Linked DNA regions of Anolis sagrei. The protein of the gene in region 2 interacts with the protein of the main gene of each other region in a biochemical or structural test. Links are inferred from orthologs where the notes say so. Each region holds a gene or a part of one and is shown on either strand. Other genes may lie near its edges.

Region 1 (6,977 bases), on a different chromosome or scaffold from region 2:
ATGTTATGTAATGTTTGTTGCTTCCAACTACTGTATGCCCATGGGAGAAAAGTGGTATATAAATAAAGAAATAATGCATGTGTATACAATGCATGTGTGAGATATATATGTGTGTGTGCGCACGCGCATTGTATGTATAGATCTATGCATGTTTGTGTCTAAAGACATGCACATACAATGCATGTGCATTGTGTTTGTGTGAATATATATATATATGCATTGTTTATGTGCATGCATGTGTGTATAGATCCATGAATGTTTGTGTCTAAAGTCGTGTGCATAAAATGTGTGTGCATTGTGTGTGAGAGAGATATGCATTATATGTATACTGTAGATGTATGCATGTTTGTGTCTAAAAGTATGTGAATACAATGCATGTGCATTGTGTTTGTGTGAGTATATATATATATGCATTGTGTGTATCTATGTGGATGTATGCATGTGTGTATAGTTCTATGTATGTTTGTGTCTAAAGGCATGTACATACAATGTGTGTGCATTGTGTGAGAATATGTATGTTGATATATGCATTGTGTTTATGTGCATGCATGTGTGTATAGATCCATGCATGTTTGTGTCTAAAGTCGTGTGCATAAAATGTGTGTGCATTGTGTGTAAGAGAGATATACATTATATATATATACTGTAGATGTATGCATGTATGTGTCTAAATGTATGTGAATACAATGCATGTGCATTGTGTTTGTGTGAGTATATATAATATATGCATTGTGTGTATCTATGTGCATGTATGCATGTGTGTATATATCCATGTATGTTTGTGTCTAAAGGCATGTGCATACAATGTGTGTGCATTATGAGTCTATATATATGCATTATATGTATAGATGTATGCATGTTTGTGTCCAAAGGCATGTGAGTAATGTGAATACAATGCATGTGCATTGTGTGTTTGCATTCTGAGTATATATGCATTGTGTGTATAGATTTATGCACGTTTGTATCCAAAGGCATGTGCATACAATGCATGTGTAGTGTATGTGCGCATTATTTGTATCTATGTGCATGCATGCACATATAGCTTGTATTTCAAGGCATATGCATACAATGTGCGTGCATTGTGTGTGTTTTGTTTTCTGAGTATATATGCATTGTGTATGTGTCTATTGTTTGTATCTATGCGCATGCATGCATGTGTATATAGCTTATGCCTAAAGACATGTGCATACAATGGGTGTGCACTGTGTTTGTGAGTATATATATATAGAGAGATGCATTGTATCTATGTGCATGCCCGAGTGTATAGATCTATGCATGCTTGTGCATTCTGTTTTTGTGTGAGTATATATATATCAGAGAGAGATGCATTGTATGTATGTGCTTGCATGTGTGTATAGATCTATGCATGCTTGTGCATTGTGTTTGTGTGAGTATATATATATATATATCAGAGAGAGATGCATTGTGTATATGTGCATGCATGTGTGTATAGATCTATGAATGCTTGTGCATTGTGTTTGTGTGAGTATATATATACAGAGAGAGATGCATTGTATGTATGTGCATGCATCTGTGTATAGATCTATGCATGCTTGTGCATTGTGTGTTTGTGTGAGTATATATATATACAGAGAGATGTATGTGCATGCATGTGCATGGTGTTTGTGAGTATATATATAGAGATGCATTGTGTGTATGTATGTATGTGCATGCATGTGTACAGATTTATGCATGCTTGTGCATTGTGTGTGAGTATATATTATTTACAGAGAGAGAGAGATGCATTGTGTATATGTATGTGCATGCATCTGTGTATAGATCTATGCATGCTTGTGCATTGTGTGTTTGTGTGAGTATATATATATATACAGAGAGATGTATGTGCATGCATGTGCATGGTGTTTGTGAGTATATATATAGAGATGCATTGTGTGTATGTATGTATGTGCATGCACGTGTACAGATTTATGCATGTTTGTGCATTGTGTGTGAGTATATATTATTTACAGAGAGAGAGATATGCATTGTGTATATGTATGTGCATGCATGTGTGTATAGATCTATGCATGCTTGTGCATTGTGTTTGAGTGTGTATATATATATATACATACAGAGAAATGCATTGTGTGTATGTATGTGCATGCACGTGTATAGATCTATGCATGCTTGTGCATTGTGTGTTTGTGTGAGTATATATATATATATACAGAGAGAGATGTATGTGCATGCATGGTGTTTGTGAGTATATATATAGAGATGCATTGTGTGTATGCATGTGTATAGATTTATGCATGCTTGTGCATTGTGTGTTTGTGTGAGTATATATATTTACAGAGATATATATGCATTGTGTATACGTGCATGCATGTGTGTACAGATCTATGCATGCTTGTGCATTGTTTTTGTGAGAGTATATACACAGAGAGAGAGAGAGAGAGATGCCTTGTGTGTATGCATGTGCATGCATGTTTGTGTCTAAAGGTGCATGCATATATATATATAGAAAAGCATGCCTCTGTGTCTGTGTGTGTGTGTGTGTGTGTACACACCCATCTCCAAGCATCTAGGCCTTTCCCCCGAAGCTTTGCATCCAGCCCTCCTCCTGGACAATGAATGCACCAAAGGGACACCAAAATAGGAAGGGAGGGAGCCAAAGGAATCACCCCGAGGGAGGGAGGGAGGGAGGCCCGGGCCCACTTACATGCCGCCGAGGGAGGAGGAGAAGAGGAGCTGAGGCCTAGGAACGAAGGAAGGAGGGAAGGAAGGAAGGAAGGGCTGCAACCTCCTCCTCCTCCTCCTCTTCGTCCTTTCCTTCTGCTGCTGCTGCAGTTGCGGCTCCGGCGCGAGGGATCAGCCCATGGAAAGCAGAGCAGAGCAGCCAAGAGAGGGAGGCAGCAAAGGAAGCAGGCAGGCGGCGCGCGCTGCGGGTCTCTGCTGCTGCTGCTGCCGCTCTTCTCCTCCTTCTTGTTGCCTCTGCCGCCTTGGCTCCTGCGGCGGATCCCAGTTCCTCCCGCTTCCCTCCTTTGACTCACTCGCGCCCTGGGTGAGTGTGTCTGCGTGTCTCCCTCTTCCACCCGCCCCCCGACGGCGTCCGCGCGGTCCTAACGCCCGCCTGTTCTTTCCTCCTCTTATTCCCATCCTTTTTTGTTTTTTAATTACAATCCTTTCATTTTTCTTATTTTCACTTAAAAAAAAACAAAAACAAACCGCTTTGAAGAATATTTTATATTTAGTTTTTTTATTTTATTATTTTCTAAATACTTTTATATTAGGATACTAATTTTTTATTACAATACTTATTTTTCTTATTTTTCTCTTTTTCCCATCTTTTTAAAATTACAATCCTTTCATTTTGCTTATTTTCACATTTTTTAAAAAAAACACCCTCATTTAAGAATATGTTAGATTTAGTTTTGTATTTTATGATTTTTTTCAATACTTTGATATTAGGATACTATTTTTTATTACAATACCTTTGTTTTTTCTTATTTTTCTTTTTTCCCCAACTTTTTTTTATTACAATCCTTTCGTTTTTCTTATTTTCACTTTTTAAAAAACACTTTTAAGAATATTTTATATTTAGGTTTATTTTATTTTATTATTTTCTAAATACCTTTATATTAGGATGCTAATTTTTTTATTACCATACTTTCATTTTTTTTCCTCCTCTTTTTTCCCCATCTTTTTTTTTAAAAAATTACAATCCTTTGATTGAGTATTTAAAAAAAAAACGCAAAAATTACAACAGCAAAACGTCCCCGCCGGCTTCACAAGCACGCCTGGCGGGGACGAGAGACAGGGCCTTCTCAGTGGTGGCCCCTCGGCTGTGGAACGCCCTTCCTGCAGATATTAGATCGACCCCCTCCTTGCTGGCATTCCAGAGGAAAGTAAAGACCTGGCTGTTTGAACAGGCATTCAACTAAGCACTGTGATTGATTGACTGACTATCGGAACACGGAATATCGGATAACGAGTTTGGATTCTGATTTCATTGAGGAGACCTGATGGATTTGTTATATTGATGTAGTGATGTATTGATATTGATGTTTAATGATTTGTGATGCTATTGCTTTTAAATGCTTAATGATTTTGTATTGTGCCACATCATGAGGAGACAGCAAAGCCTAGAGAAGACAATTATGCTGGGGAAAGTGGAAGGCAAAAGGAAGAGGGGCCGACCAAGGGCAAGATGGATGAATGGCATCCTTGAAGTGACTGACTTGACTCTGAAGGAGCTGGGGGTGGTGACGGCCGACAGGGAGCTCTGGCGTGGGCTGGTCCATGAGGTCACGAAGAGTCGGAGGCGACTGAACGAATGAACAACAACAAATACCTAAATTGTTGTAAACCGCTCTGAATCGCCTAAGGGCTGAGAAGAGCGGTATACAAATAAAGTTAATAAATATACAAATAATGGTATCCTTGAAGGGACTGGCTTGACTCTGAAGGAGCTGGGGGTGGTGACAGCCGACAGGGAGCTCTGGCGTGGGCCGGTCCGTGAGGTCACGAAGAGTTGGAAGCGACTGGGTGAATAAACAACAACAACGAAATACTTTTCTGTTAGGATACTTTTATCTTTACTTCTGAATACTTTTGTTTTCATTGTTCTTCCTGTTGTTATTTGTAACACTTTTATTTATTTATTTATTTATTTACTTTGCTTATATACCGCTGTATCTCAAGCCCGAAGGCGACTCACGGCGGTTCACAAACAGTAAAAACAGTAGAAACAGCAGTGATTCCATACAACATATAACAATTGACTTAACACATTATCCATAAATTACCAATAAGCAATTACAATGCACAATTATTGGTAATTTATGGATAATGTGTTAAGTCATTTTTTGCTTTTATGGTAATATTTTTTATTATTTATTATATTTAGTTTTTATTCTGTCTGAGATTTTGTAATGCTTTTATTTTTATTATGATGCTTATATGTTAGGGTACTTTTTAAGCTTTATTTTTGATTTTATAATATTTTCTTTGTTCTTCTTATTGTTATTGGAATACTTTTATGCTTATTATAATTTTTGTTTATTATGTTTAGTTTTTCTTTTCTTTTTTCTTTTATGATACTTCTATATTAGGATACTTTTATATTGGGATATTAGGGTACTTTTATTTTATTAACTTTATAATCTTTTTATTTTCATTGTTCTTATTTTTATTGGAATAATTTTATTTTTATGATAATATTTTATTTATTATCTTTTGTTTTTGTCTTTCATTTAATAATACTCTTATTTTTATGATGATACTTATTTAAGTTTTAAGTTATTTAAGTTTTATTTTTGGTCAATTTTTATTTAGTATTAAGTTTATAGTTACGCTGTCTTATATTGTTTGATGTATCCTGTTTTGATGTAATTTGTTTTTATGTCTTTTTATTGGCATTCAGTGTTTGCCATATATGGTGGAAACCTCCCTGAATCCCTTCAGGGAGAGAGGGCAGTCTACAAATAAAGGTATTATTACTATTATTATTATTATTATTATTATTATATTAGAATGCTTTCATTTTGATCTTCATGTTGTTTTTGGTTTTATAATTGAAATACCTTTGTTTTATTATATCTTTATTTTTATCTTTATACTGCTTTCATTTTTATTCCAGTACATTAAATTTCATTTTTTCTATTGATAAAATACTTTTGGTTTTGTTATATTTTATATTTTGTTTTTTTATTTATACTTTTTCATTTTTCTTATTTTTATACAAATGCATTTAGTTTTATTATAATGTTTTATACTGAGTATCTGTTTGATTTTTTAATTTAAAAATATTCTTATAGTTAGTCTTAGGATACTTTCATTTTTAATCTTTATTTTATACTTTTTATTTTTTATTATTATCCTTCTTATTTTTATTATTATGCTTGTTTTCATTGATTGACTTACATACTTTGATATTGTCCAGCCTTGCTCCCAATTTACGGACTCAAAGCTGCAGATAGCAAACATGACACAATGCAATTATTTTTATTACATTATATTATTTTATGTGACTGGCTTGACCTTGAAGGAGCTGGGGGTGGCCACAGCCATCAGGGAGCTCTGGCGTGGGCTGGTCCATGAGGTCACAAAGAGTCAGAGGTGACTGAACGAATAAACAACAACAACGATTTTAAAAATTATTTTAATTGTGACACTATTATTTTTATATTTATTATATTTTTATTTTATTATACTTTTATCTGTTATTATTATTGCGCCAACTCCACTGGCTGCCGACTTGCTACCGGGCTCAATTCAAAGTGCTGGTGTTGACCTTTAAAGCCCTAAACGGTTCCGGCCCAAGCTACCTTTCCGACCGCATCTCGGCCTATGAACCCACCAGGACTTTGAGATCTTCCAGGGAGGCCCTGCTCTCGATCCCGCCAGCTTCACAAGCACGGCTGGCGGGGACGAGAGACAGAGCCTTCTCGGTGGTGGCCCCCCGGCTGTGGAGCGCCCTTCCCACAGATATTAGATTAGCACCATCTCTAATGGTCTTCCGCAAAAAAGTAAAGACCTGGTTATTTGTGCAGGCGTTCGAATAATTAGTGCAAGACTGGTAATGACATAGGAATGGAACAATGGATAACACATTTGGATCATGTTTTTAGTGACGAGACGCTAGTGAATGGTTATCATAGTAATCGTGTATTGTGTATTAGATTAGGGTATTAATTGTTTATATTGGTGTTTGAATTCTGCTGTGTCCTGTGTCTTGTGAACCGTTGTGAGTCGCCTTCGGGCTGAGAACAGCGGTATAGAAGCAAAGTAAATAAATAAATAAATAAATTGTTTTTATTGTGATACTTTTATTTATTTGTTTTTTTACTTACTTTGGTTGAAGCATCTTCCGCAGAGTCCACTGCAAACTCTGCACAACCAATCTGTGTAAATGTCTAAAACAGCCACTAGGTGGCATTCAGAAACCTTTTACTGTTGCCACATTTTTCATCACCCCATTTAGTTGGGATCAGGACCCACAGTTTAAGAAGCATTGGTCTAGAACAGGGGTCCTC
Region 2 (7,014 bases):
CATCCAAACTCACAGGCCCATCAATAAACCCATCATTAAAATATAGGAAAGACAGCTAGATGATTTGTCCATGTCCTCATAAACGTAGCAAGACTATCGGAATTTCAGACATTTTGGACTCACAAAGAAACAAACATGCAGTTTAAGAAGAGAATCCATGTTGTTTTCAATGCAAATCTGGTGAAACTGCTTTGACAAAAATGCCAATATGAACACTATTCATCTACATTGGCTACATTCCATTTAGTGGAAATGAAACAAGCAATGGTTCAAATCAGAATATTGATAACATTAAGGAGTAAGGAAGGCTGGCACTGAATGCCCTGTTACATGAGAAAATGAACATACATCCACACTATGATATATACCAGGCATGGGCAAATTTTGACCCTCCAGGTGTTTTGGACATCAACTCCCACAATTTCACAATTGTGGGAGTTGATGTCCAAAACACCTGGAGGGCCAAAGTTTGCCCATGCCTGGTATATACTGTAGCACAAGGCATTGTACAAATACTAAGAGACAGTGTTAACAGAGGTTTCAAGACAACAAATGGCCACACAGGTAAACCACACTATGATATATACCAGGCATGGGCAAACTTTGGCCCTCCAGGTGTTTTGGACATCAACTCCCACAATTCCTAACAGCCCACTGGCAGTTAGGAATTGTAGGAGTTGAAGTCAAAACACATGAAGGGCCAAAGTTTGCACATACCTGGTATATACTGTAGCACAAGGCATTATAGAAATACTAAAGAGAAAAATGGCCAAACAGGTAAACCAGCCAGTATAGATCCACACTATGATATATACCAGGCATAGGCAAACTTTGGTCCTCTAGATTGTTTTGGACTTCAACTCCCACAATTTCTAACAGCCTACTGGCTGTTAGAAATTGTAGGAGTTAAAGTCCAAAACACCTGGCAGGCCAATGTTTGCCCATGCCTGGTATATACCATAGTGTGGATGTAGTAGAGGGCCAAAGTTTGCCCATGCCAGGTATATACTGTAGTACAAGGCATTGTGCAAATACTAAGAGACAATGTTAACGGAGCCTTCAAGACAGCAAATGGCCACACAGGTAAACCAGCCAGTATAGACTGGCTTTCAGCCTCTTCAACGATATGAAAGGCAACAGCACTGAAACCCCACAACTGATTAATGCAGCCAAGTGTAAAAGTGGGTTCATAGAAGAGCAAGAGGAGAGACTACATGGGAGCAAAAGGAGCCCAAGAGGGAAGAGAAGGCTCCCAGAGTGCAGTGAGGGAAAACGAGGGGTATCTCTCCCCAAAACTGACCTGTGCCATCGCTTGCAGAGACAGAGAGAGCCGGTGAGGAGAGTTTAGGCCTCTTGGCTGAAGGCGGGCCCGACTCCACCACATTCTCGGCCATTTTTAATTCTTTTTTAGACAAACAGAGCCCAAATTGAAGACGGGGATCGATCTCCAGTGCCGCAAAAGCCACCTCCTCGGATCAGGAATCAAGTGAACAACAACAAATACGAGAAGAAGAAGAAGAAGAAAAGAACAAAGTTCCTCTTTTTTCTTTCTTTTAATGCCCCTCGGGATCTGTCTCCGTTGGGTAGCAGCAGCGACTAAGAGGGGAGAAAACAGAGATGAAGAAACAGGGTGTGGAAGAAGCAGCAGCAGCAGAAGCAGTCTTTTTTCTCTGGATGCCACAGAGGATCAAAAAGAGTAACAACAAGGGAGCAGGACTTGATGGGTTCCCCAAGCCGGCTCAAATCCGGCTGCGGGGCTGTTGGGGCTTCCTCGCGGCCGCCAACGCCACCATCTTCATCGCCATCCTCCTCGGGGGGGTCGCCGTGGAAGCCAACGCCGTCGTCGTGGTCGCCTCCTCCTTCTTCTTCTCCTCCTCCTGCTGCCTCTTCTCCGCCGCCATCAACCTCTTCCTCCTCGGCGTCGTCCTCCTCCTCCTCATCGCCACAAGGAGGCGGCGGGCGAAGGAGGAGGAGCGGGGGGGAGGAAAAGGCGAAGGAGAACCGTCCCCGCTTCCCCGCCGACGAGATGGCCCCCAGGTGGAGAGGGAGGAGAAGGAAAAGGGGGTCCCCGGCTCCCCCTACCGCCGCCTCCCTGGCCGGCCAGTCAGTCACTACCAATGGCTGCAGGAAAGGAGGATGAAGCAGCAGCAGCAGCAGCAGAGAAGTCCCAGGAGTCCCCGCTTCACATCTTGTTGTGCAGGAACAAGGAGGAGGGGGTTGTTGTCCCGATGGAGGGAGGGAAGGAGGGAAGGAGAGAGGGAGGAGGGCTCTTCTTCCTCTTCTCTTCCTCCTCTACCTTTCCTTCCTTTCTCTCTCTCTCTCTCTCTCTGTGGCAGGGTACCCCCCTTCTGGTCAGGCGGAGGGATCGATCCCAGAGGAGGAGGAGGAAGCTAGGACGGCCCCTCCCCCTCCCTCTCTCGCTCTCCCTCTCGCTGCCTCTTTTCCCCTCCCCGGAAAGAAGGAGGGCGACTGGCTAATGGAGAGCCAGGAGGAGGCGGAGGGAGACGGGGCTCCGGAGCCGAGGCGGCGGCGGTGGTGGTGCCTCAGGCGTTTCTGCTGCTACTCGGAGGGCTCCGTCTCCTGCCCGCCATGGAGGGAGGGAATGGAGGAGGCGCGGAGCCAGGCCACAGGCCCCAAGCCCTCCTCCTTCGGCGCTGTGGGTGGGGTCCCAAGCCCAGGCCGGGAGCAAGACGGGTCGGCGACGCTCTCGGCTGGCCTCGACTCTTCCCTGAACCGAGGAGTGCCCGGATCTCACTCAGCCGTCGTTGCCTTCCTTCCTCCTTTCTTTCCCTTCCTTCTCTCCCCGGTCCCCCTTCTCTCTCTGTCTCTGTCTCTCTTTCTCCGTCCTCTCTCTTCCCTCTCTTCCCTGGAGCCAGTCGCGCTCTCTTCTCTCTTCTCACACACACAAACAAAATGGCGGCTGTTGTTTCTTCACTCTCTCTCTCTCTCTCCCGATTCCTCCGAGGGAAGCCAAGCAGCCGCGGCCGGAAATGAGCCAAGAGGGGGGAAAGGGGGGGCGTGGCCAAAGAGGAGGGAAGGAAGGGAGGGGCAAAAGGGGCGGGGACGGCACGCAGGCTCGCGCACACAATGGAACGCGCGCGGGGCGGGGCCCGAGCTCGAGCCCGAGCCGGCTGCGGTCACGAGGCGAGGGTTTAGGCCACTCCGCTCGCGCGCTCCCCCTTCCGCAAAAAAAAAACAAAAAACCCTGCTCGGCGATTTAAAGGGGAGGGCGCGCGCACGCGCACATCTCTTCCCCTTCTCCCTTCCTCCGCCTTTTTTTCCGTCGGCCAAAATCAGCCGCCAGGTTGAGATTTTAAGGATAGGCCTGTTGTAAAAGGAGGGAGGGGGGAGGGAAGGAGGAGAGTGAGGCAGGCTGGGAGGAGGCCCCGCCGCAGGGACCGCAGAGAGAGAGAGAGAGAGCGAGGCCCCGTATAGATCTAGATATACACACACACGTAGGGATATTATCCAGATTGTGTGCTCTGCCTATACACTGGCCATCGTAAGAATCATAAATCACGGCGCAGCCTGAGGGCGGAGGGGCAAAGGCCTCCTTCCCCTCTTACGCCATTCTCGCCCTGCTTTCCCTGCCAGGACCCAGGCCTCTCCCTTCTGGGATAACAGAAGGCGGCCTGGCAGCCCAAGGTGTCCCGGCCTCCATGCTTGGCCTTCGGGCCGGTCCCGACTGAGGCCGAGAGTGTGTGACGCCGCCCAAGGCCGCCCCACCACACCTGCTGTCTGGCACTCAACACGAAGCAGAGAGTCGCCCTCTCTTCCGCGATCACCAGGAAACCAGAGTATGTCCAGGCGGCAAGAACGCCCTGTTCTTCCTGTGTAGACTAGTTTCTCCGGAACACACACAGCAACACATTTCCCCCACACTTAGAATTAGAGAACCCCATTTTCTCTGCTCAGCCTCAGAGGCGAAGAAGAGGCGGTTTGCAGGGCCCCATCTACAACAACAATAATAATAATGTCACAAATACCACCTACCAGCAGTAAAGAACTGGTGGGATCATGAACCTGCAAAGGTTCATGATGGGCCTGTTGTAAAAATGAACACACAAATGTGAGAAATGAACACGTAAAAACACTGTGGGACTTTCGAATCCAGACTGACAAAGTTTTGGAACACAAGACACCAGACATCACGATTGTGGAAAATAAAAAAAGTTTGGATTATTGATGTCACCATACCAGGGCCCCATCTACAACAATAACAACCATAATAATAACAACAGTCCTAAACACTTAGGAAGTGTCTGACGTGTGATCCAGTACAACAACCAGCAGAGTGATCTTGTCTGCTGTGGACTCATCTTGTTGTGTTTCTAATTATTATTATTATTATTATTACTATCAAACATGAACATGTGAAAACTGTGGTCAGCCAAGAATACATTCAAAAGGTCTGAAAAATTCTCAAAAGCAAGCTCAATGGAGGCAACACCATCAAGGCCAAAAATACCTGGGCCATACCTGTCATAAGATATACTGCTGGCATCATAAACTGGACACAGAACTGGACAATTTGGACAGAAAAACAAGAAAATTCATGACTGTAATTCACTACATCCTCGCAGTGATGTTGATCAGCTCTATCTGCCTAGAAAGTCTGGGGGCAGAGGACTTCTACAAGTCAAAGAAGAAAAACACGTCCTGGCAGAATATGTAAAGGAAAGCCAAGAACCTGCTTTAATTGAAGTCAATAATCAGAAACTTCTCAAAGCACAGCAGACAAAGAATCAGTACAAGATAACTGCACTCCAAACCAGAGCTGACAGCTGGCACAACAAAGCATTGCATGGGCATTTCCTTGACAAAATTGAAGGAAAAGTGGATAAGGAGAAGACCTGCTTATGGCTCACGAATGGAACCCTGAAGAAGGAGACAGAAGGCCTGGTTCTTGCAGCCCAGGAGCAAGCCATCAGAACAAATGCCATTAAGGCCAGGATTGAAAAATCAGCTGATGACCCAAAATGCAGACTGTGCTATGAAGTGGATGAAACCATTGATCATGTCCTCAGCTGTTGCAAGAAAATCGCACAGATGGACTACAAACAGAGGCACAACTCTGTGGCCCAAATGATTCATTGGAACTTATGTCACAAGTACCACCTGCCAGTAGTGAAGAGCTGGTGGGATCATAAACCTGCAAAAGTAGTGGAAAATGAATACACACAAATACTGTGGGACTTTCGAATCCAGACTGACAAAGTTTTGGAACACAATACACCAGACATCACGATTGTGGAAAAGAAAAAAGTTTGGATTATTGATGTCGCCATAGCGGATGACAGCTGCACTGAGGAAAAACAACAGGAAAAACTTGGCTGTTATAAGGACCTCAAAATTGAACTGCAAATGCTCTGGCATAAACCAGTACAGGTGGTCCCAGTGGTCATCAGCACACTGGGTGCCGTGCCAAACAATTTGGTAACAATAAACATGGACAAAATCGCGATCTATCAACTGCAAAATGCCACTTACTTAGATCTGCACACATAATTTGAAAATACATCACACAGTCCTAAACGCTTGGGAAGTGTTCGACTTGTGATTTTTTGATATGAAATCCAGCATATAGATCTTGTTTGCTGTGACATACTGTGCTTTTGTGTCAGTAAAATAATAATAATAATAATAATAATAATAATACTCCTGACCTCACGATTGTGTTAAAAAACAAAGTATGGATTGTCGATGTTGAATCCCAGGTGACAGCAGGATTGAAGAGAAACAACTGGAAAAGCCGACACGATATGAGGATTTAAAGATCAAACTGCAAAGACTGTGGCACAAGCCTGTCAAGGTGGTCCCAGTGGTGATCGGCACACTGGGTGCAGTGTCTAAAGACCTTGGCCTGCACTTAAACACAATCAGCACTGACAAAATTACCATCTGCCAGCTGCAGAAGGCCACCTTACTGGGATCTGCACGCATCATTCGCCGATACATCACACAGTCCTAGACACTTGGACACGTGTGACCCAATTCAACAGCCAGCAGAGTGATCTTGTCTGCTGTGGACTCCGCTTGTTTCAAATAATAATAATAATAATAATAATAATAATAATAATAATAATGGAGCTCCCAGTGGCGCAGTGGGTTAAACCCCTGTGCCGGCAGGACTGAAGACCGACAGGTCGCAGGTTCAAATCCGGGGAGAGGCGGATGAGCTCCCTCTATCAGCTCCAGCTCCTCATGCGGGGACATGAGAGAAGCCTCCCACAAGGATGATAAAAACATCAAAATCATCCAGGTGTCCCCTGGGCAACATCCTTGCAGACGGCCAATTCTCTCACACCAGGGGCAACTTGCAGTCACTCCTGACACGACAAATAATAATAATAATAATAATAATAATAATAATAATAATGTTCATCATTGCAATGAACCCACTGTCAGTAATTCTACAGAATTACTACAGGGCTGTGTGGAAGGGCCCTAGGAATGGCCCTTCAATGCAATTTGATAATCAGCTTCCAGCATCTATAAATCACAGAAAACTGTTCTCTCACATTTAAAAAGTTGGGTTTTTGTGTTTATTAAGATTTATATAATACCAATAGATAAGAAACAACCAAAATAGCAACGTTTTTATTTTAAGTGTTTCACTTTCATGGAGGTTCTGTGTCCCCAGTCCCAGGGCCCTTCCACAGAGTCATATAACTCAGATTATCAAGGCAGGAAATCCCACAATATCTGCTTTGAACTGAGTTATCTGAGTCCATGCTGCCATATATTCCAGATATTTTGCCTTGATATTCTGGGTTATATGGCTGTGTGGAAGGGCTCCCAGTGAATGCAGAGGGCTGACTGTGCATTTTGTAACAGGTATGGACACATTCACTCTCAAATAGCTTTGAATGTAACTCTAAGAAGTCCTCTCAAACATAGTCAAATGTAAAATATTATGGTAACTATAGTACAAAACCTGTGACGTTCAAAATTCCTCTAACCCTGTGTTATATGACATCACTCTTTAGTGACTTTCTTCCTATCTAGATGGTT
Region 3 (6,861 bases), on a different chromosome or scaffold from region 2:
TATTATAAAAAGCCAATGGGGGCTCTCTGTTTCCTACCTAAAAAAAAATAATTTTCCTACATCCGGATTTTCCAAGGTTGTGACCTGCCCTCTCTGTGACCCCCTTTCCCCCCAATAAATAAATACATATACAGGGTTAGTCAAAATGAATAGGCCAATAAGAATATTAATTGTACCCGAATTGGCCTATTCATTTTGACTAACCCTGTATAATAATAATAATAATAATAGTCCCCCAAAAATATATATAATAATAGTAATAATAATAGACTCCCTTGGATGCAATGAGTCGGATTAAAGGGGTGGGAAGGCGCATGCCCTTAATCCGAATTACACTTCAAAAGCCTTAATCTGAATTAGTAGGAAGGGGGGGGGGGGAGAGAGAAAAGGCAGAGAGATGATGGTAGGAGGGAAAAGGGGGGCAACCAGCCTCTTAAAGGGATAGCTACTCAAATATACCCTTCTTTTTCATGTCGGTTGACCTTGGGCCCGCCCCGTCGAGGATGCCAATCATTTTTGGGAGGGGGGGGGTTGAAAGAGACTTAAATTTATGGGAAAGTGTGTAGGATGATTAGGATTGGAGCAAATGAGTATGTAATGTATGTATAGCATTGGTTTGTCTCCCCGTCGAGGGTGAATGCATTCATTGCAATCCCAAGGGTAATTGGAGATTGGGGGGGGGGGGGGTCTCCAACATTTGGTTACAAGGGAAGATTCAAAGGGGAGGGGGGTTAGTCTACATTGCAAACCGGTTCCAAAGAGGAAAACAGCCTTTGATTTTCAGCAAGGAAACAACCAACCTCCCTCCTCTTCCTTCTCTTTTCTTCGCCCTCCCCTTCGAGGCAAATGGGTCCAGACCCCTCTAAATTTGTCCCCTTTCTTTCCCAAGTTACTTTTTTCACTCAAAACGGGAGGGGGGAGAGAAATAAGGGTCATCTCAGTTCAAAAACAGACCTCCCCGTCGAAGGTGAAACCAACGTCTATTGTTTTCTTTTGGAGGGAGGGGGAAAGATATAAATAAGCCCCTTCCTCTACAATATGGGGAAGGAAATAAGGTTGGGAATAGGAGAGAATTAAGGAAGACCCTCCTCCTGGTTCCCCGACGGTGCAAAACAAAGGAGAGCAAAGCAAAACATGTTTAGAAAGGGGGATTCTTTTGCTTCCTGTTCAAAGAACAAACCACACTTCAGTCTTGGTCCCATTTGGGGGTCGTTTTAAAGTTATTTCCGTCCAATTATGGCTGGAAAAACCGGATTAAAGGATCCGGAGACCTTCGGAAGGCATCACAAAGGAGTCGCTCCACTTTGGGATCCGGATTCAGGGGGAGAGAAGGGGGTCACACTCCAGGAATACACCTTGGATTGCTTCTAACTCTGTAATTTTCTCTTTGGAAAAGAGACAGAGCCGTCGGAAGTTTGCTAAACTCCGCGAAACCGGCTTTGAATGGGAACTGCTGCTGCTTCTCTTTTCCCCCCCTCCATAAACCGCCCAGGGGCTTTTTGCAAAGCAAATGGCACTCATGGCAAAGCAAAAAAAGGAGGGAAAGAAAGTCCTACTTGCTGCAATGCAAAAGGATCCTACCGTCCCTTCGAAGAAAGGGATTTATTTACATTTTATAATATTATTATTATAGATTTTTATATTACTGGCATTTACAGGAATGCAAAAAAAGGAGGGAAATAAAGTCCTACTTGGTGCAATGCAAAAGTACCCGCCGCCCCTTCGAATAAAGGGCTTATTTACTTTTATTTTATATTATTATTATATATTTTTATATTACTGGCACTCATGGCAAAGCAAAAAAAAGGAGGGGAAAAAGTCCTGCTTGTTGCAATACAAAAGTACCCGACCGCCCCTTCGAAGGAGAGGTTTATTTACATTTTATTTTATTAATAATTATTATTCTATATTATTTTCCCTTCCAAAGACTGGAGGCAACAGGACCACGAGGGAAAGTCCTACTAACTGCAATGCAAAAGCAGTCGACCGCCCCTTCGAAGGAGGTTTATTTACATTTTATATTATTATTATAATATATTTTTACATTACTGGCATTCATGGGAAAGCAAAAAAAAGAGGGAAAGAAAGTCCTACTTAGTGCAATGCAAAACTACCCGCCCGCCCCTTCGAAGAAAAGATTTATTTACATTTTATAATAATATTATTATTATATATTATTTTATTATTTCCCCTTCCAAAGATTGGAGGCAACAGAAGCACGAGGGGAAGAAAGTCCTACTTGGTGCAATGCAATTGCACCCGACCGTCCCTTCGAAGAAAGGGTTTATTTACATTTTATCATATTCTTAAATATTATTTTCCCTTCCATATTATTTTGTTTTCCCTTCCAAAGACTGGAGGCAACAGGAGCACGAGGGGAAGAAAGTCCCACTTGCTGCAATGCAAAAGCACCCGACCGTCCCTTCGAAGTGTTTATTTACATTTTATTATTATATTATTATATATAATATTATAATTATTATTCTACCCAAAGACTGGAGGCAACAGGAGCCCGGCGTCCCTTTGCAAAGCAAGAAGCGCTGCAAACAAAGGAAAGAGGCGGAAAGAAGGCAAGACGGTCCTCGGGGGGGAGGCAAAGAAAGGCAAAAGGATGCACAATAATAATAATAATAATACTATTTCCCACCTTCCTTACCTTGGTGGAGATCTCAGAGCTGGTGTCCACGGCTGTGTCTGACATTGCGAGTGGGAGGTGAGACAGAGAGAGATGGAGGGAGAAAAGAACTCTGTGGAGAGCTCAAAAAAATATATAGTCCTTGCTTGCTTGCTTTCCCTCCTCTTTGCAAAAACAAAACCCAAAACACACACCAGCAGCAGCAGCAAAAAGGTCAAAAAGATCCAAACGCTAGGATTGCAATAATAATAATAATATAAAGTATTTTAGTTATTTAATTATATATATATTTAAATTCTTCTTCTTGCAAAAGGAGCAACAGCAGGAACAATGCAAAGATGGCTTTAGGAAGGAGCCAGTGGAAGGCTCACGCGGCGCCCGGGCCTTTAATATAGAAGAGTGGGCGGCGCGAGGGCAGCCCCGCTCGCCCCTGATTGGCCGTCCCGGGCAGTTCGAAACGCGCTGATTGGCTAAGGCGCGAACAATGGGCAAGGGCTGCTTAAAGTGATACAGCAGCTTTTTTTTTTCCCCCCCTCCTTTCTTTCTAATTTTCCTCTTCCTCCTCCTCCTCCTCCTCTTCTCTTCTTTCCTCCCTCCTTCCATTTCCCTCCCTTTGCTCAGCCAAAGGGAGGGAAAAGGGGGGAGGGGGAGGAAAAAAGGAGGGAGGAGGGGAAAGAGGGCCTTTTATTTATTTATTTATTTTGCAAGACACACAAACAACAGGCATAGTTTCCTCCTCCTTCGCATTGCGGGGTATATCTGGGGTTCGTTTAGAGGGGCATGCCCTGCACTCCTCGTTGGGGGAAATGGGAGGTTGCAAAAGGGGGCAGGCACTCATCCTTTGCCCATTGGGGTGCTTATGGGGGGGTTGCAATAGAGTGCATAGGTTGCAAAAGGGGGCATATGCACACACCCTATTCCTACCCAGTTGTGGATTGGGGTCGCAAAAAAGGGGCAAACCCCCCCCCCATTCCTGGGCATTGGGGGATATGAGAGGTTGCAAAAGGGGGCATGCACTCATCCTTTGCCCATTGGGGTGCTTATGGGGGGTTGCAATAGAGTGCAAAGGTTGTAAAAGGGGGCATATGCCCATACCCCATTCCTTAAGCGGGGTTGCAAAAGGGGGGCATATGCCCATACCCCATTCCTTAAGCGGGGTTGCAAAAGGGGGGCATATGCCCATACCCCATTCCTTAAGCGGGGTTGCAAAAGGGGGCATTTTTGATTGGGGTTGCAAAATGTTGATTGGGGTTGCAAAAAAAAGTGGCACACCCCACACACACACACACAATTCCTGGGCATTGGGGGATATGGGAGGTTGCAAAAGGGGGCAGGCACTCATCCCTTTCCCATTGGGTTGCTTATGGGGAGTTGCAATAGAGTGCATAGGTTGCAAAAGGGGACATATGCACACACACCCATGCCTTAAGCAGGGTTGCAAAAGGGGGCATATAAGGAATGGGGTGTGTGCATATGCCCCCAATAAGCACCCCAATGGGAAAAGGATGAGTGCATGCCCCCTTTTGCAACCTCCCATTTTCCCCAATGCCCAGAAATGAGGGTGTGCCCCTTTTTTGCACCCCCAATTGACAACTGGGTAGGACTATATGATATATTTTATTATATTTATAATATATTTGCCCCCAATGCCCCCTTTTGCAACCTCCCATATCCCCCAATGCCCAGAAATGAGGGTGTGCCCCTTTTTTGCACCCCCAATTGACAACTGGGTAGGAATATATGATATATTTTATTATTTTTATAATATATTTGCCCCCAATGCCCCCTTTTGCAACCTCCCATACCCCCCAATGCCCAGGAATGAGGGGCGTGCCCCTTTTTTTTGCAACCCCAATCAGCATCTGGGTAGAATTAGGGTGTGTGCATATGCCCCCTTTTGCAACCTATGCACTCTATTGCAACCCCCCCCCCCATAAACACCCCTCCCCAATGGGAAAGGGATAAGTGCGTGCCCCCTTTTGCAACCTCCCATATCCCCCAATGCCCAGGAATGGGGGGGGGGTGCCACTTTTTTGCAACCCCAAGTAACAACTGGGTAGGAATATATAATTTATTTTATTTATTATATATTTGCCCCCAATGCCCCTTTTTGCAACCTCCCATTTTCCCCAATGCCCAGGAATGAGGGGTGTGCCCCTTTTTTTGCAACCCCAATCAACATCTGGGTAGGAATAGGGTGTGTGCATATGCCCCCTTTTGCAACCCCGCTTAAGGCATGGGGTGTGGGCATCTGCCCCCTTTTGCAACCTATGCACTCTATTGCAACCCCCCATAAGCACCCCAACGGGCAAAGGATGAGTGCATGCCCCCTTTTCCCATATCCCTCAATGCCCAGGAAAAGGGGGCATTTGTACACACCCTATTCCTACCCAGATGTTGATTGGGGTTGCAAAAAAGGGGCACACCCCCCCCCCCCATTCCTGGGCATTGGGAAAAATGGGAGGTTGCAAAAGAGGGGCATTGGGTGCAAATATACAGGGTTAGTCAAAATGAATAGGCCAATTCGGGTACAATTAATTTTCTTATTGGCCTATTCATTTTGACTAACCCTGTATAATAAAATAAGTTATATGGGGGTTGCAAAAGGGGGCAAATATATAATTAATTAATAAAATATATTATATATCCCAACCCAGTTGTCAATTAGGGTTGCAAAAAAGGGGCATTTCCTGAGCATTGGGGGATATGGGAGGTTGCAAAAGGGGGGCATTGGGGGGCAAATCTATAATAAATAAATAAAATATATTATATGGGGGTCGCAAAAGAGGGCATTTGGACTCCCCATGAAGTTGCAAAAAAGAGTCAAAAGCTTTGCATTGGGTGGCATGGGATGCTAAAAGGGAGCATACACGTGTCTAACGCGGTTTCGACGCGGGACAAACGCCGGTCACAGCAACCTCCCTTTGCGTGTTTCCTTTCCGAGAAAGGGGGCGCGGGCAAGCCGCGCGCGCCCTCCTGCGGCCGCGGGGAAGCATTTGCACGCATCCTGCACGTGTGAACGCGCCGTTTTGCGTGTTTGGGGACTTGCGTGTATTTTGCAAGCCGGGGGATCATTTGTCTTCGCTGCCATAGACACTGCCGAAACGTTTTTGGTTGTCATGGCGGGGAAGATTTCACCACTTTTTTTTTTTTTGTAAAGCAAAACAAAAGCAGACGCTTTGCACGCAAACTCCAAAACTCCACTTTGCAAAAAATAGAAATAAAATAAGAAGGGGGCGGGAAATTCTCAGATGCTGGCTGGGTTTTGGGCGGGAAAAAGCAAGGAAATTCGAGCAATGTTGGGTTTTGTCCAGGTTTTCTATATAATACACACACACACACATATACAGGGTTAGTCAAAATGAATAGGCCAATAAGCCAATAGGCAATGTCTTTTTTGGCCTATTCATTTTGACTAACCCTGTATAATACATACATTATGGATTATATGCATTATGCATGCATATATATATATATATATATATATATATATATGATTAAAATTATATATATAATAAATATACATATATACTCTACACTGTACATATTATATGCCTATATATATATATATGTATATGTATATATATAATACACAGTATTATGTATTGTATACATTACATTTATATTTAATATACTTATTTAATATGTTATATATTATATTATATAGATTAGAATTATTATATTGTCTAATAAATAATATTTGTACTATATTTAATGTTCCATCTTAAAATTGTATATTAAAATTGCATATATAATAAATATATTTATATGTATAAATGTAATATTTAATATATTTATTAATATATTATTTATTTATATATAAATAATATTTAATATATTTATTTAAAATGTTATTTATTACATTATATAGATTTATATTATTATATTGTCTAATAAATAATATTTGTATTATATTTAATATGTTCCATGTTAAAATTATATATTAAAATTACATATATAATAAATATATTATTTATTTATATATATAATTTTTAATATATTTATTTAATGTTATATATTACATTATATAGATGATAAATCACATATATAATAAATATATTATTTATATAAATGTAATATTTAATATATTTCTTTAGTGTTACATTTAATATGTTCCATCTTAAAATTACATATATAATAAATATATTATTTATTTATATATATAATATTTAATAGTTATTTAATATTATATATTATATTATATAGATTAGAAATCACATATATAA
Region 4 (6,139 bases), on a different chromosome or scaffold from region 2:
ATATCTCCTCTCAGCCTTCTCTTCTGAAGGCTAAACATGCCCAGCTCCTTAAGCCACTCCTCATAGGGCTTGTTCTCCAGACCCTTGATCCTTTTAGTCGCCCTCCTCTGGACACATTCCAGCTTGAAATGCAAGAGGGCGCCAAATTATCAGAAATCAGACCAGAAATCAGAATTAGTTTTGGTATGTAAAAGTAATCAGATTATGCAAAAGGAAAAAAAAATATAACGCTGGGATTTATTTGCCCCAACTGGAGCACACTCATTCATTCAAGTCCTAGCCACAGCGTTCATGTTACTGTATGGTGAATCAACACAAAGGTAAATCCCATTGAGTGGATCTATTCTGCACAGGACTAACAACTAGATTTGGGCCACGATGAAAGCACAAAATTATTATTTTTATTATTATTACTACCTCTGAGGATGCTTGCCATAGATGTAAGTGAAATTTCAGGAGAGAATGCCTCTAGACCATGGCCATATAGCCCGAAAAAACCTACAACAACCCATTATTATTAATAATAATAATAATAATAATAATAATGTTATTCTTATACCCCACCACCATCTCCCCAAAGGGACTCAGGGTGGCTTACATATGGGACAAAATGCCCACAGACATAGATACAAAACAATTTGTCAAAGAAAAACACAATTAAAATAAAGACATAGTATAAAACAGCAATGTTAAAACTCAATTGAAAGTACGCGGAACAATGGCTTCAAACTACAGGAAAGGAGATTCCACCTGAACATGAGGAAGAACTTCCTGACTGTGAGAGCCGTTCAGCAGTGGAACTCTCTGCCCCGGAGTGTGGTGGAGACTCCTCCTTCGGAGGCTTTTAAACAGAGACTGGGTGGTCATCTGTTGGGGGTGCTTTGAATGTGATTTTCTTACTCCTTGGCAGAATGGGGTTGGACTGGATGGCCCACGAGGTCTCTTCCATCTCTAGCATTCTATGATTCCATGATTCTAAAACAATACTCAACAATTGCCAGTAGTACAGTGGGTGTGGCCATGCTATAAAAGGGCTACACATGGTATTGTGCAAGCAGTGTATCATAATTCTGAGTATTGGATGAAGTGCAGAGAACAAAATATTATTAGGGAACCTAGGGACTGGGCATTTAAAACTAGGGACTAGGCATTCTCAAATGCAAACTGAAACATCCAGGTTTTAAAATCTCTGTGAAAGGATGCTTGCCTAATCTCTCTTGGGAGGGAGTTCCAAAGTTGGGGGTCACCACTGAAAAGGCCTTCTCCCTCGTCCCCACCAACTGTGCTTGTGACAGTGGTGGAATCAAGAGGAGGGCCTCCCTGGCAAATCTTAGAGCCCACACCAGTTCATAGGGGGAGATGCGGTCATGAAGATAGGCAGGACCAGAGCTGCTTAAGGCTTTATAGATCATAACCTGCACTTTGAAATGGGACTGGAAACATATCAGCAGCCAGTGGAGTTGGTTTAGTAGGGGTGTCATGTACTCTCTATAATTAGCTCCAGTTAGAAGTCTAGCTGCTGACCTTTGTACCAATTGCAGCCCCAAATGCAATTCAAATGCAGTCTCACATAGAGTGCATTACAGTAGTCCAATCTGGATGTAACTAAGGCATGGTCCACCGTAGCCAAGTCCAACTTCTTGAGGTACAGTCGCAGCTGGCACATAAGCTTTAACTGTGCAAAGGTCCTCCCAGCTACTGCCAATACCTGAGTTTCAAGAGTCAGCGATTAATCGAAGAGGACTCCCAGACTATGGACCAGTGTCCTCTGGGGGAGTGTAATGTCATCAAGCACAGGTTGCCATCCTATACCCCAATTGGTCTCATGAATGACCAGGAGGACCTCTATCTTGTCTGGATTAAGCTTCAGCTTGTTATCGCCCATCCAGTTCATCACAGCTCTGAGGCACTGGTTCAGGATCTGGCTGGCTTCCTTGGAATTAGGTGGAAAGGAGTAGTAGAGTTGAGTGTCATTTTCATACAGATGCACTGAACTCTGAAACTCTGGATGACCTCACCCAGTGGTTTCATATAGATGTTACGAAGCATGGGTGATAGAATGGAGCCTTGCGGGACCCCACAGGTCAATGGCCAGGGGTCCAAGCAGGTGTCCCCTAGCTTCACCAACTGGGTGCGATCCTCCAGGAAGGAGTGGAGCCACTGCAAAGCAATGCCCCCAAGACTTATTCCAGAGAGCTGCCCTAGAAGGATACCATGGTCGATGGTTTCAAAAGCCGCTGAGATGTCCAAGAGAACCAACAGGGACACACTCCCCTTGTCTAGTTCTCTATGGAGGTCATCCACCAAGGCGACCAAAGCTGTCTCTGTATTGTGCCCAAGCCTAAAAACAGACTGTGATGAATCAAGATAATCATTTTCATCCAACAATCCCTGGAGCGGAGGAGCTGAGAAGGGCTCCTATTGTCACAATCTGCAATTGAACTAACAAACTAGATTGTAGGACCTTCTGTGCTGCACTATAAAGTTCCAGGTTAGGTACCCTGGAGTCCAAGGCACAAGTCAAATGTCTCTTTAGTATTAAAAAGTTGATTTATTTATTTTCAGTTCAACTGGAGAAGCTTTTAAGAGGAGCTTGAAGACGTGGTTGTTCCAGTGTGCCTTCCCAGAATAATGATTCCATAGCACTTTGTCCTCTAAAGCATTTTATATATTTAGGTCTGCTCTATCACTGCCCTATCACTTTTTCATCCATATCCAGCTTTATTTTTAATCTTTTAATTTAATTACATTTGGCCTACCCATAGTTTTTAAAGTGTGTTGTCCTATTGATATTGTATGTGTTATTGGTTTACTGTTTTGTTATTTTAAATTGCTTGTATTGTTATTGCTTGTTGTATTTTGGGCTTGGCCTCATGTAAGCTGCACTGAGTCCCTTGGGGAGATGGTAGGTAAAGGTAAAGGTAGTCCCCTGACATCAAGTCCAGTCATGTCTGACTCTGGGGTGTGGTGCTCATCTCAATTTCTAAGCCGAAGAGCTGACGTTCTCCATAGACACCTCCAAGGTCATGTGGCCGGCATGACTGCATGTAGCGCCGTTACCTTCCCGCCGGAGCGGTACCTATTGATCTACTCACATTCGCATGTTTTCGAACTGCTAGGTTGGCAGAAGCTAGGGCTGATAGCAGAAGCTCACACCGCTCCCTGAAATCGAACCTGCAACCTGTAACATTGGCTACTGTTTTGGGGGTTCAGTTGATACACTTATATATTATTACACAAGTAATAAAAATTGCAATGAACTTACAAAGTTTGGCATTCTATTTCCCAGGAAAATATAAAGTTGGCTACTGTTATTGAGGCTTAATTGATGCACTTTTACATTGTTAAAAAGGACAAGGTAAAGGTAGTCCCCTGACATTAAGTCCAATCATGTCTGACTCTGGGGTGTGGTGCTCATCTCAATTTCTAAGCCGAAGAGTCAGCGTTGTCCATAGACACCTGCAAGGTCATGTGGCCAGCATGACTGCATGGAGTGCCATTACCTTCCAGCCGGAGCAGTACCTATTGATCTACTCACATTTGCATGTTTTCAAACTGCTAGGTTGGCAGAAGCTAGGGCTGACAGCGGAAGCTCACGCCGTTCCCTGGAATCAAACCTGCGACCTTTCGATCAACAAGCTCAGCAGCTCAGTGCTTTAACCCACTGATGGTAGCGGGGTATAAATAAATTATTATTATTATTATTATTATTATTATTATTATTAAGGTTATCACTGGAGCAATCCTGAGAATTTTACTTTAGTGAAGCAAAGTTCTATTTGTCAGAGCAGACCTTGCAGAACTACAAACCGCAGAGCCCCATAACATACAGACATGACAGTTCAATTAGTGTTAAAACTACTTTACTTTTACAGCATTGTTGCCACCCCAAACTGGTATTCCTGGTATTGTTGGCCAAGGCAGCTGAGACTTCCGGGAGTTGGGGAGTCCAAAACATGAGTGCTAGATGAACCCTTTAGTGTTCGATTAATAGAATACCTGAAAGTTTCTAAAAGGAATATCCCAAGTTGCAAGAAATGCAATGGCAACTCTTTTGTTGAGAAAGTGGGTGGCTCTTAAAAGAGCCTTTGGGTCTGTTTAGGGACTCCATTGGGAGTTTACTTGGAGCTGGTGTACTTGGTGACAGCCTTTGTGCCCTCCGAGACGGCGTGCTTGGCCAGCTCCCCGGGAAGCAGGAGGCGGACGGCGGTCTGGATCTCGCGAGAAGTGATGGTGGAGCGCTTGTTGTAGTGCGCCAGGCGGGAGGCCTCACCAGCGATGCGCTCGAAGATGTCATTGACGAAGGAGTTCATGATGCTCATGGCCTTGGAGGAGATGCCGGTGTCCGGGTGGACCTGCTTCAGCACCTTGTAGACATAGATGGAGTAGCTCTCCTTGCGGCTCTTTCTGCGCTTCTTGTCTCCCTTCTTCTGGGTCTTGGTCACTGCTTTCTTCGACCCCTTCTTGGCTGCAGGCGCTGACTTTGCTGGCTCTGGCATTGTCAAACTCTCTCTGCGACACACTCACAACAGCAAAGAATTTCAAAGAACTAACCAGCCGACTCTGAGCGCTCTGTATTTATACAACGTCTATGCTAATTAGTAGCTCAGAATTCGCTGTTTCCCATTGGCTGGGGAGAGCGCGTCTCCTATTGGGCGGTTAGAACCACTATGCAAATGAAGGAATTCTTCCATTGTGATTCTATTGGGGGGATATAAAATGCCGCGTTCCTATTGGGCAGAAGAGTAGCCGTGTTTTCTATTGGTTAGATGAACTCAAAAGGAAACAGGCAGCCAATCGGAATTCGCAATTACGAGCCGCAGGAGTGAATAAAAGGCAAGGAAGAGCATTTTCTCTCCATCCGTTTCATTTCAAGAGTAGTTTCTCTTCTTCGAAAGGTTCTTCTCTGAAAGCTTAAATCATGTCTGGACGCGGCAAGCAAGGAGGCAAAGCCAGAGCCAAGGCGAAGACTCGCTCTTCCAGAGCCGGGCTGCAGTTCCCCGTGGGCCGTGTGCACCGTCTCCTCCGGAAGGGCAACTACGCCGAGCGGGTGGGAGCCGGGGCGCCGGTCTACCTGGCGGCAGTGCTGGAGTACCTGACGGCTGAGATCCTGGAATTGGCGGGAAACGCGGCCCGGGACAACAAGAAGACCCGCATCATCCCTCGCCACTTGCAGCTGGCCATCCGCAACGACGAGGAGCTCAACAAGCTGCTGGGCAGAGTCACCATCGCCCAGGGAGGCGTCCTGCCCAACATCCAGGCCGTGCTCCTCCCCAAGAAGACCGAGAGCCACAAGGCCAAAGGGAAGTAAACAAAGCCCTCTTGGTCTCCAGGAGAAAAAAACAGAACCCAAAGGCTCTTTTAAGAGCCACCCACACATTCAGAAAAAGAACTTGATCACTTGGAAACAATTTGCAATCTCCTCCAGGAAATATTGTATCATCCAAGCCCTGATACTAATGGGGGAAATAAAGTGCCAAGCTTTGTAAGTTCGTTACAATTTTTTTCACTTGTGTAACAATGTAAATGTAAAAGTATCAATTAAACCTCAATAACAGTAGCCAACTTTATATTTTCCTGGGAAATAGAATGCCAAACTTTGTAAGTTCATTGCAATTTTTTCACTTCTGTAACAATGTAAATATAAAAATGTATCAATTAAGTTTCAATAACAGTAGCCAACTGTACATTTTCCTGGGAAATAGAGTGCCAAACTTTGTAAGTTCATTGCATTTTTTTCACTTATGTAACAATGTAAAAGTATCAATTAAGCTTCAATAACAGTAGCCAACTTTATATTTTCCTGGGAAATAGAATGCCAAACTTTGTAAGTTCATTGCAATTTTTATTACTTGTGTAATAATACGCAAGTATATCAACTGAGCCCGAATTGTTGTTGTTGTTCATTCGTTCAGTCGTCTCAGACTCTTCGTGACCTCATGGACCAGCCCATGCCAGAGCTTCCTGTCGGCTGTCACCACCCCCAGCTCCTTCAAGGTCAGTCCAGTCACTTCAAGGATGCCATCCATCCATCTTGCCCTTGGTCGGCCCCTCTTCCTTTTGCCTTCCACTTTCCCCAGCATCATTGTCTTCTCTAGGCTTTGCTGTCTCCTCATGATGCGGCCAAAGTACTTCAACT

What was found.
Region 1: of the proteins of EP300 (region 2) and AKT1, one has a biochemical effect on the other in vitro, tested with the Homo sapiens proteins (3 studies listed by BioGRID, with this or other methods). The link is inferred for Anolis sagrei from reciprocal best matches to the Homo sapiens genes EP300 and AKT1.
Region 3: the proteins of EP300 (region 2) and PTMA form a complex in vitro, tested with the Homo sapiens proteins (2 studies listed by BioGRID). The link is inferred for Anolis sagrei from reciprocal best matches to the Homo sapiens genes EP300 and PTMA.
Region 4: of the proteins of EP300 (region 2) and histone H2A type 1-E, one has a biochemical effect on the other in vitro, tested with the Homo sapiens proteins (8 studies listed by BioGRID, with this or other methods). The link is inferred for Anolis sagrei from reciprocal best matches to the Homo sapiens genes EP300 and H2AC4.

Annotation. Positions count from the first base shown.
Region 1 is NC_090021.1:328,325,244-328,332,220, reverse strand, and holds the start of AKT1 (RAC-alpha serine/threonine-protein kinase), read right to left. Parts: upstream 3,034-6,977; 5' UTR 2,663-3,033; intron 1-2,662. UniProt on the Homo sapiens protein: AKT1 is one of 3 closely related serine/threonine-protein kinases (AKT1, AKT2 and AKT3) called the AKT kinase, and which regulate many processes including metabolism, proliferation, cell survival, growth and angiogenesis.
Region 2 is NC_090025.1:161,827,764-161,834,777, forward strand, and holds the start of EP300 (histone acetyltransferase p300), read right to left. Parts: upstream 3,009-7,014; 5' UTR 1,395-3,008; coding exon 1,301-1,394; intron 1-1,300. UniProt on the Homo sapiens protein: Functions as a histone acetyltransferase and regulates transcription via chromatin remodeling. Acetylates all four core histones in nucleosomes. Histone acetylation gives an epigenetic tag for transcriptional activation.
Region 3 is NC_090023.1:266,613,925-266,620,785, reverse strand, and holds the start of PTMA (prothymosin alpha), read right to left. Parts: upstream 3,009-6,861; 5' UTR 2,702-3,008; coding exon 2,648-2,701; intron 1-2,647.
Region 4 is NC_090026.1:11,267,505-11,273,643, forward strand, and holds histone H2A type 1-E, read left to right. Parts: upstream 1-4,830; 5' UTR 4,831-4,921; coding exon 4,922-5,311; 3' UTR 5,312-5,611; downstream 5,612-6,139. Other genes in the region: histone H2B 5-like, read right to left, coding at 4,119-4,499. UniProt on the Homo sapiens protein: Core component of nucleosome. Nucleosomes wrap and compact DNA into chromatin, limiting DNA accessibility to the cellular machineries which require DNA as a template.